Linked DNA regions of Ovis aries. The protein of the gene in region 1 binds, or shares a complex with, the protein of each later gene. Links are inferred from orthologs where the notes say so. Each region holds a gene or a part of one and is shown on either strand. Other genes may lie near its edges.

Evidence for each region.
Region 2: the proteins of IL22RA2 (region 1) and IL22 are in contact, whole or in part, in a crystal structure (PDB 3G9V), measured with the Homo sapiens proteins. The link is inferred for Ovis aries from reciprocal best matches to the Homo sapiens genes IL22RA2 and IL22. Residues at the interface, in NP_443194.1 of Homo sapiens: Lys65, Ile66, Tyr99, Gly100, Gln101, Arg102, Trp104, Gln128, Glu129, Pro130, Tyr132, Met148, Pro150, Arg151, Thr153, Trp155, Trp156, Glu157, Glu200, Pro246, Met247, Leu248, Asp249, Arg250; in NP_065386.1 of Homo sapiens: Phe47, Gln48, Pro50, Thr53, Asn54, Phe57, Met58, Lys61, Ser64, Leu65, Asp67, Asn69, Thr70, Asp71, Val72, Arg73, Leu74, Lys162, Gly165, Glu166, Asp168, Leu169, Met172, Arg175, Asn176.

Annotation. Positions count from the first base shown.
Region 1 is NC_056061.1:62,365,810-62,370,375, reverse strand, and holds the start of IL22RA2 (interleukin-22 receptor subunit alpha-2), read left to right. Parts: upstream 1-1,568; 5' UTR 1,569-1,611; coding exon 1,612-1,672; intron 1,673-4,566. UniProt on the Homo sapiens protein: Isoform 2 is a receptor for IL22. Binds to IL22, prevents interaction with the functional IL-22R complex and blocks the activity of IL22 (in vitro). May play an important role as an IL22 antagonist in the regulation of inflammatory responses.
Region 2 is NC_056056.1:151,693,776-151,698,204, reverse strand, and holds the start of IL22 (interleukin-22 precursor), read right to left. Parts: upstream 2,820-4,429; 5' UTR 2,810-2,819; coding exon 2,624-2,809; intron 1,671-2,623; coding exon 1,605-1,670; intron 1,497-1,604; coding exon 1,350-1,496; coding exon of another isoform or gene 1,173-1,349; exon of another isoform or gene 427-1,172; coding exon 361-426; exon of another isoform or gene 341-360; intron 1-340. UniProt on the Homo sapiens protein: Cytokine that plays a critical role in modulating tissue responses during inflammation. Plays an essential role in the regeneration of epithelial cells to maintain barrier function after injury and for the prevention of further tissue damage.

The DNA.
Region 1 (4,566 bases):
ACTACATTGGAAACCCCAATTTCCCTCTCTGCTTCTCTACTTATTAAACCTTGAATTCATTTCTTTTTTTTTCTTAACTGGAAGTTGGAGCAATTTGGTTCCTCTAATACATGAGTTATTGGCATTAAAGATATTGAACATCAGTGGTTCAAACCTAAATGACTATTCCCCACTTGAAACCAAGGTGAGTAAAAAGTCTAGCGTTCAGTGGTGAATCATGAGCAAGGAAATGAAGGATGATGCTGAAAATGCTAAGGGACAAAGATCCCTCAGAAAGTATTCATACAAAGGGCACCTGAGATAGGCTGCTGTTTCTTCTTTGAAAGCCTAAGTCATCTTAGAAGCAGTGGAAACTTCACCTGGAGGAGGTAAGGAGTTTGGATTCAAAAGTCTGACCCTGCCAGAAAGTGCTGGAAAACCCAGCATTGTTTCCACAAAGCCCCCCATCCTGCTTAGGGAATGTGCCTACTTCCCCCATTAAAACTCATCTTCGGGTGAGTAGGGACAATGTCTATATTATTTGCTTCTTCATCCTTGATGCTGAGAACAATGCCTATCTCATGGTAGGGCAGAAACTATGTTATTGAGTCAAGTATTTACTTACTTATTACTTAAATAATTATTAATTAATGGATACTGCTCAGCAGCCATCACTATTCCCGACTGAAGGGGTTATGCTACCAAGAGCTTGAAAGTTCAACTTCCCAAGAGGAAAAAGAAACCAGCATGTATTTCTTCTTTTACCCCAAAAGCCTCTTTAGAAAAAAAAATCTTTGAGTTTCTTGTGCTTTAATGTATAATCTTAGTGTTGCTAAAAACATGCAGTAAAAAAAAAAAAAAAGTTTGGTAAGAAAACTGATATAGCGAATCATGGGCAAAGAACAGATGACCTAGTTTGATTAGATTTCCAAGAAGATATGACGAAGATTTAACGTAGTTCAAAATGATTGTCCTTGGTCTTCCTCCTTTTAAGGGTTTACTTGGTTTGTTGGGCTCAAAATCTTGATCAGCTAGGTTGCTGGAAATGGAGAGTGCAGATGGAAAAGGAAGAAGCATGAGCTGCGTGGGGCCCAGGGCGCTACGGACTGGGATGGCCGCAGAGGTGGGAGGGAGTCCTGCAGAGAGGCCAGGCGGACAGAGGGTATGAGGTCTACACCCAGGAGGTTACTCGAGGAGCTCCCATGAAGGGAGGAAAAGGAAAAACTAGCCAGAGACCCCACCTGCTTGAACCACTGCCAGGGGCCCTGATCACTGCAACTGCCAAGCCCGTTACTCAGAGTCACTGGCAGCCCCTCTGCCCCCTCTGCCAGATGCCGTTTAGGCCTCCTCCACTCACCTGCAAGAATCTTGCATAATTCTTCACCCTGCCTGCCCCCGGCCCACCAACCCAACATTAAAGTGACTTAACTGACAATATTTTTGAAATGATTCTTAATACTTATTCCTCTCAAATGATAATACACGAACAGGATGAAATTGTATTTACTTCAAGAAGCATGGTTAAAACCAAAAGGGGATCTTTGAGCGAGAGGATTCTGGTTCCCTCTCTTGTCCAGCGCTGTCGTCTCATTGAGGTGAACGCTGGCCACCCGACCAGTCACACTCGCAACCATGACGCTGAAGTGTTGCTTTCTAGGCTTCCTCCTCAGTGTCCTCCTGCCTGGTGTGGTAGGTAAGTGCTTCCTTTCTTCCTAATTTCTCAGTGTTGTCATCAGAGCCTGCTCCAGGGCACTATTGGACATGGCAGTCTCGCCCTTCTGGGCTTTGTAAAGATTTCAGCTCTCTCCTGTCACAAATTGGTCAGAACAGACATGGGGTCCGTTTCTCAGTGAGCTAAGTCGCTCCAGTTGTGTTTGACTCTTTGTGATCCTATGGACTGTAGCCCCCCAGGCTCCTCTGTCCATGGGGATTCTCCAGGCAAGAATATTGGAGTGGGTTGCCATGCCCTCCTCCAGGGCATCTTCCTGACCCAGGGAGCAAGCCCATGTCTCTTGAGTCTCCTGCGTTCGCAGGCAGGTTCTTTGCCTGCCACCTGGGAAGCCCAGTTTCCCTCTATAGCCTGGATAAATACATGCAGACTTCATGAGTAGCTACTAAAGAGGAGGCACTCTAGTGGGTTCAAAAAACTCCACACAGGACAAATACACACCCTTCTCTGTCTCCTTAGCATTTCTTTCAACTTCAAGGGACAAGCAGAGTTCCTAGCCCAGACTGCCTGAACCTGGATTTCAACTCTATCTCTTTATTATCTAGAAAAACTGGGCTGATTGGCTTAAACCGCCTCTGCCTTGATTACTCCATCTGTAGAATGGGGATTGCAGGTCACTGTGAGGATTAAATGAGTTAATAATATATGCCAAGTGCTTAGCACCGTGCCTAGCATAGAATAGATCATAAACAACATGTGAGAATTTGCTATTGGCATTCATGGAGAAGTCTTCAAGAACAGAGAGCATCTTGTCACCCCAGCTTACCTCTGAGCAAAACCATGGGGGGCCCCAGTTAACAGATGTGTACCTTTCAGTGTCAGTGGCTCAAGTAGCTTTCCCAGCATTCTACAGTTGCCCAGTGACTGATCATTTAAACACAACTCAAGCCTCCATTTCCCAGAAATGTGTGGATTTGGGTAGACTATGCCTTTGGTCTTTGGTCATACCAAGGATTCAATTAAAAGAATATGACAGGAATTAAGTGTCACCAAAATGACTTAGGTGCTGCATCTTACCGACCCTAGGCAAATCACACAACTTCTTTAGACCTCAGTTTTCCCATCTGTAAAACGTGCTAATAAAAGTACTCTACCTTATTGGGTGGTTGTAAGAATGAAAAAAGAGATGAAGCTCTGAGCACAGTGCCTGATAGATGGTTAATGTTCAAAATGTGTTTTCTTAATGCCAGCCAGGAAGAGGAGGAAGAGGGCAAAAGGGAGGACTATCTTTGACTCCTCACTGTTCTGCCTCCTCCATTGGCTCCTGTCCCCCCAGGCTTTGCTCTTGTTTTGCTGTAGCCGCTGAGAGGCAGGCTCTGGAGCCAGACAGCATTGGTATAAAATCAGCTTCACTGTCTGCCACTTTGCCAGCTCTTTTACCTCCCCAAGGCTTGGATTTTGGTCTGCAAGAGAAAGGCCATAATATTATCCTTTTCATAGGTGAGCTGGGCAAATTCAATGAGTTCTTGCAGGTAAAAGACCTGCGGTGTTTTGCACAGAGGGCTTGTTATTTTCTTTGATGGTGCTTACCAACAGTGTTACAAAAATGAGAGAAGCCTGAAGACAGATGAGATAAAGGACACTGGACCATTTGTTTTCAGGATAGCAGATCAACTGTAGGCAGGGTCTTTAAGAAACTGTGCCTATCACTTCCTATCAACTCCTGAAAACTTTCAAAGTTTTTATGTGCTAAATATGATTGATCCAATAGTGACTTGTGTGAGCAAAACCAATCATGGCATTTGACTCTTTCCAAGAGATATGTTCTTGTACTTTGGATGAAAGGAAGTCCAAAAAAGTAAAAAATAAACAAAAACCAAATAACAGCATTGACACTATTAGGTTGGTAAAAATAAATACCTAAGGAAGCAGCCTTACTCATTAGAGAATAACACATGTCTTATTTATTTACTTATGTTTGGCTGTGCTGGGTCTTCCTCACTGCTTGCAGGCTTTCTCTAGCTGCAGTGAGCAGGGGCTGCTGTCTAGCTGTAGTACATGGCCTTCTCATTGTGATGGCTTCTCTTGTTGTGGGGCGTGGGCTCTAGGGTATGTGGGCTCAGTAATTGTGCACGGGCTTAGTTGCCTCACAACACGTGGCATCTTCCCAGGCCAGGGATCAAACCTGTGTCCCCTGCATTGGCTGGGGGATTCTTAACCACTGGACCACCGGGGAAGCCCCGAGAATAACAAATTTCGAAAGTTCAGAGCGGAGATCATAGGCATCAAAATATTCACTTCCCTTTGAATGATATTTGAGCAAAGACTTGAAGGGGGTGAAGAAATGAGGCTTGTGGAAATCCAGAGAAGAGTATTCAAGGAAAAGGAAAGGGCCAATACAGAGACCTCAGATGGGGCCACGCCCAGCATGGTAGAGCAGGAGAAAGGAGGACACTCTGGAGAAGCCAGGGGGCAAGTGATAGAAGATGAGGAAGAGACAGGCGGGGGAGACATGCTTCCTGACTCCTGCTTCTGCCTATCTCCTATCCTTCAGCAGAAACGCTGGGCCTGTCGGGAAGGCAAAGCTTTAATTCTGCCTCTTTTACGTTTTCATCTGGTACTCTCTTCTTTCTTTTTTTTTTCGCTTACACGTTACATGACAAATTTATTCAGTAAAAAAGTCAACTAGGACTCTAGCAAAAAGATTAATAAAAGAAAAACTGTTTATGAGTGCATACACAGCACGTCACTAGTGAGGAACTTAAACAAAGATGAACTCAAAATGGCGTCTGAAAGTCCCAGCTTCTGTAGCATCTTCAACAAGGAATGATATACCTGTGCAAATATGACAGGACAAAGGAGAGCAGTTCTAGGCTTCCAAAGGTGGCAATCTGCGGGAAAGTCAATACATGGGGGGA
Region 2 (4,429 bases), on another chromosome or scaffold:
CAGTAGGTATCTTAAATTTCCCTAAGAACTGACGAGACTAACTATAATATCCAGCACTTCTGGCCTGGATGGGATTCAGAGGTCCTGCAGTCTATTCTGACTCTGACACTGGCCATCCCTAGCACATGGGTGACAATATTAGATGACTTAAGTTCCCAGCCAGTTCTAGAATTTGCAAAATTTGAAAACCGACTTATAAACATGTAGACACATCTATGTATGTGCACCTAAATAATCAACCCAGTGGCAGGAGAGGCAAGTAAAAAATCATGACATGGGAGAAAAAGGGAAAGAAAAGGAAGAAAAACAATATTTGCCTCTTCTATCAAATGATTTAGCGCTAAGAGTTGTTACTAGTACCTTTTTCACTGTGTTCTTCAGATTCTGTACGTTTCTCTGGATGTGCTGGTTGTCATTCTCAATATGCTGCAAAATGGAAGTGAGAGCAACAAGTTTAACATTGTTGTGCTGAAGCTTTTTGAGACTCAGCCTTCCTAACTGAAGCATGTTACACTTCATCTGGAATTAAAGTTCTTAGCAATTTTGCCCACAACGACCTAGATATCAATAGTGACCTAGATTCTCTGACCTCCTCAATCCCTGGGACACCAAAATCCAGTCATTTCCCTTACACGGAACCTCACTTCACCTTTGGGAAACCCTACTGAGGTTGAAGTTTGTGGAAAGAGCAGAGTGGTTTATGCAAATCCTGTCAAGAATAAAACCATAACGGCACCTCATCAAAAACACGGGCTCAGAACAAGAAACCTACATAAAATATCTCATGCGAACAGGGCCCTCCTCAATAAATACTAGGCCCCCTTTGCTCAGCCTACTCCACCAAAATATTTTTCTTAGTTTTCAATATTCAGAGGCATCAAGCTCACGCACCTCTGATTTTTGTCACTTCCAGTATCAAAAGGGCAGCAGTCTTCATCCACCCACCCACTGCCAAATATCAAATCTTCTTGTTTCTCCCTTTCTCTCTTTCCCATCCCCTCCCTCCATCAACTTATATTCAGTGAATCCATTTGCACCATTTGTATTTTTCCTTAAAGCTCCCAACACCTTTCTCATCTCACATAGTCCGAATTGCTTTTTCCCAGGGACAAATGAGTCTCCTGTGGTCTTTCAGACCCTGCCCATCACAATCAACTCAAAATGTGACTCAATTAAAGCAAAAGCAAACAGGTTGTGCTGCCAAATGACTTCAGTAATGGTGTGACGGAGGCACCTCTTACTACCAGCTTGGAAGGGGCACTGGGGTGGGAAGGAAGAGGGTTCCGCACAGAAGAAAGACGAAAGGCAGGCACCTGGGAGGATCGGACTTTGGCTGGAGAAGAACTTACGCATTGGCTTAGCTTTTTGCTGAGCTTGGAGAAGAAGGGCACCACCTTCTTCATATGGGGGTGGAATTCATCGGATCGGGGGAACAGCACCTCTTCAAGAATAAAGTTCAGCACCTGCTTCAGCACATAGCAGCGCTTCGTCACCTGCTGGTGAAAGTGAAAGAGCAGGGCTCAAGTTAGGCGACATCCACAAGACCCGGCCCATCCTCACCACCGCTCCAAGTCACCACAAGTGGCATCATGCCTCTGGCTTACATTGATTCCCTGGAACAATTTGTTTCCAATGAGACGAACATCTGTGATGTTATCTGCCAAACTAGCCTGCAAGAGAAGAAAAGACTAAGTGCCTGGACATCATAAAGCTAGAAGAAATGTCTGTAAGGAGAGCTGTACTCTGTCCCCTCTTCCCAGAGCAGCACTGTGAGGACTAAAGAAAGGGCTCTTTAGTTCATGGGTTTAAAATGATGCTCAGGGGTTGAGGGGAGGGGTAAATTAGAAGTTTGGGGTTAACATATATACACCATAATGTATTAAATAGATAACTAACAAGAAGTTACCATATAGTACAAGGAACCATACTCAATATTTTATAACAACCAATAAGGGGAATGAATATATAAAAGAATATACATATATTTTATATATACACATATATAGGTATACTTATACATATATATAGACTCGAATCAGTATGCTGTACACTGGAAACTAACATGACCCTGTAAACCAACTAAACTTCAAAATAAATTTAAAAAATAAGATAAAAAAGTATAATGTACAGCATAGGTAATATAGCCAATATGTTATAATAACTATAAATGGAGAATAATCTCTAAAAATTGTGGATCACTATGCTGTATACCTGGAACTTAAATAATACTGTCAATGAACTATACTTCAGTTAAAAAAAAAAAAGAATGGATTTAAAGCTCCTAGAATAGAGCTCATAACATAGTAAGTGCTCGAAAATGTGAATTTCTTGCTCTTCAGAAAATAAAAGAATGCTTAGAGGAGTAAAGGGAACCATAAACAGTCAGATGGGTTACTACATGGCTCCTTTGGGGGCAAAACTGAATGTGCATCTCCTAAAGGGCAAAATGACAGGTCTTGAGGTAAAGCTTGAGCTCCAAAAAGTCTTAAAAGAGACATAAAGTGATGACAGGTATACCAGTAGAGATTAATGTTCGTCTGGAGAAATGTCCTCTGGAGAAATTTTAAGAACTATTCAGGTTCCAAGTAGATAAGATGCATAAGAGAAGGACTGAGATGAGTACCTCCTGAGCCAGAGTGAAGGTGTGGTTGAAGATGTAGGGCTCCTGGAAGTCGGACTTGTTGAGCCTACAGTGCGACGTGATGGGTGCAGCCGCTCCTCCCTGGGCGCACAGCACCATGACAAGGAGGCAGCCAGCGGCCAGAGCGGCCCCGAGGGGAGAGCTCACGTACTTCTGCAGGGCAGCCATCGTGGACAAAGCAAACCTGAGCAGTGGGTGACTAGGGAAGAAGAACCTGGTATCAAGAGAACAAGAAACAAAATCAACATTAAGGGGAAAAATTAAGTATCCAGGAGTAATAGACCCAGCAAGCCAATCCTACCAAGTTCGTTGGAGGACTTACCTGTTTCGAGGCTTCTGCTTGTGATAGGAAAGTAGAAGCTGCTGCTTTTATAGCCCCCAGGACACCAAATTGTGTGTGTGAAAAGTATGACATCAGCAATTATCTAATTTCCAGTGCTGTCTTCTGAGAACTACCTAACCACCATAGGGGACCACAGAGCACCACCTCCAAGCCTTCCCACCTTGATACGCCAGCATTTCCCTAAAACGTCACTATTAGGCCCGGTGCGTGCTTTTACAGACAAATCCCAGAAAGTTTCTAAACCCTACATACTTTTCAAAGAAAATGACTGCTTTGTCTTTGTAGATTCCAGGTTTAGTTTAAAATTTTCTGATCTCTTGTAGTGAGTAAACATTTTGGTCACGGACTCATTTTCCTAGCAGCTTCATAGATTCTTATCTCTTTAGAGGTGATCAAAAAAAAAAAAGGACCTATATCCTTTACTTTAAAATAAGCAGTAATGGCAGCTTGGAGACAATTCTATTTTTTAAAATGTTATGTCCTTTTTAAAAAAATATGATGAATGCTGAAGAAGACTTAAATTTTAAAATAGCAGTATTGGCTAACATAACTTTCCTCCCATTCTATGGCATTTTTTAAGTGACCAAACAATTACAATAGATGCAAATATATCTTAAATTTTTCATTAAATCATAATCAATATTGATTTAAACTTGAAAATATTAATGCTGAACAATCTGATCTGTATTTTTCTTAACATGCAAGTATTTTGAGAATACAGTCAAGTAGTTCATTTTACCTGCACTCATTCTAAACAACACACAAGTCCCCCCCTCAAAACATTTCCAAAAACCTTATAACACTTTTTATTAGATACATGAAAGTCTAAAGAAGAGAATCTGGCAATTTAATGATTACAGGTGGTTTTTATTAAAATACATTGAACTCTAAATAATACCTAAACCTGAAACCTTCCCAAGGAGGTGGGATCAGGGGACAAGGGCACTGATCTATTGCTAAGGGAAGGAATGTAAATTCGTGCAGATTAGTTTGATCAGATTTTTCTTTTTGCAACAAGCTTGGATCAGGCGCATCAAAGAAGGCATGTGAATAATTGTAGAAATCTGAGCATTTTGTGAGATTGCATGGGCCTTCGGCAAGGGGCCACAGTGAAGAGTTAAGACAGCATGAGAACACTGAGCATTTGGGAAGGTAATTAAAAGGGAAGGTTAGGGGAGGACACAAAAACCATACCCACTGCACAAGTTTACTCGAGCTGATTCATGAATGCCAGATGAGAAAACTCTTCTTTTCCAATTTCCTATTATATATGATATAACCACTTTTGTCCAAAATGCTATATAATTATATCAGCATTCGAGTTAAGAGTTAAGCTCTTAACTCTATGCATAGTTAAGCTCTCTATATAGAGTTAAACTATATAATGGATTAAATTAAGCTTCTGTTGGTTTGCCTGGGAACCCTATAAACATACATAATTTTGT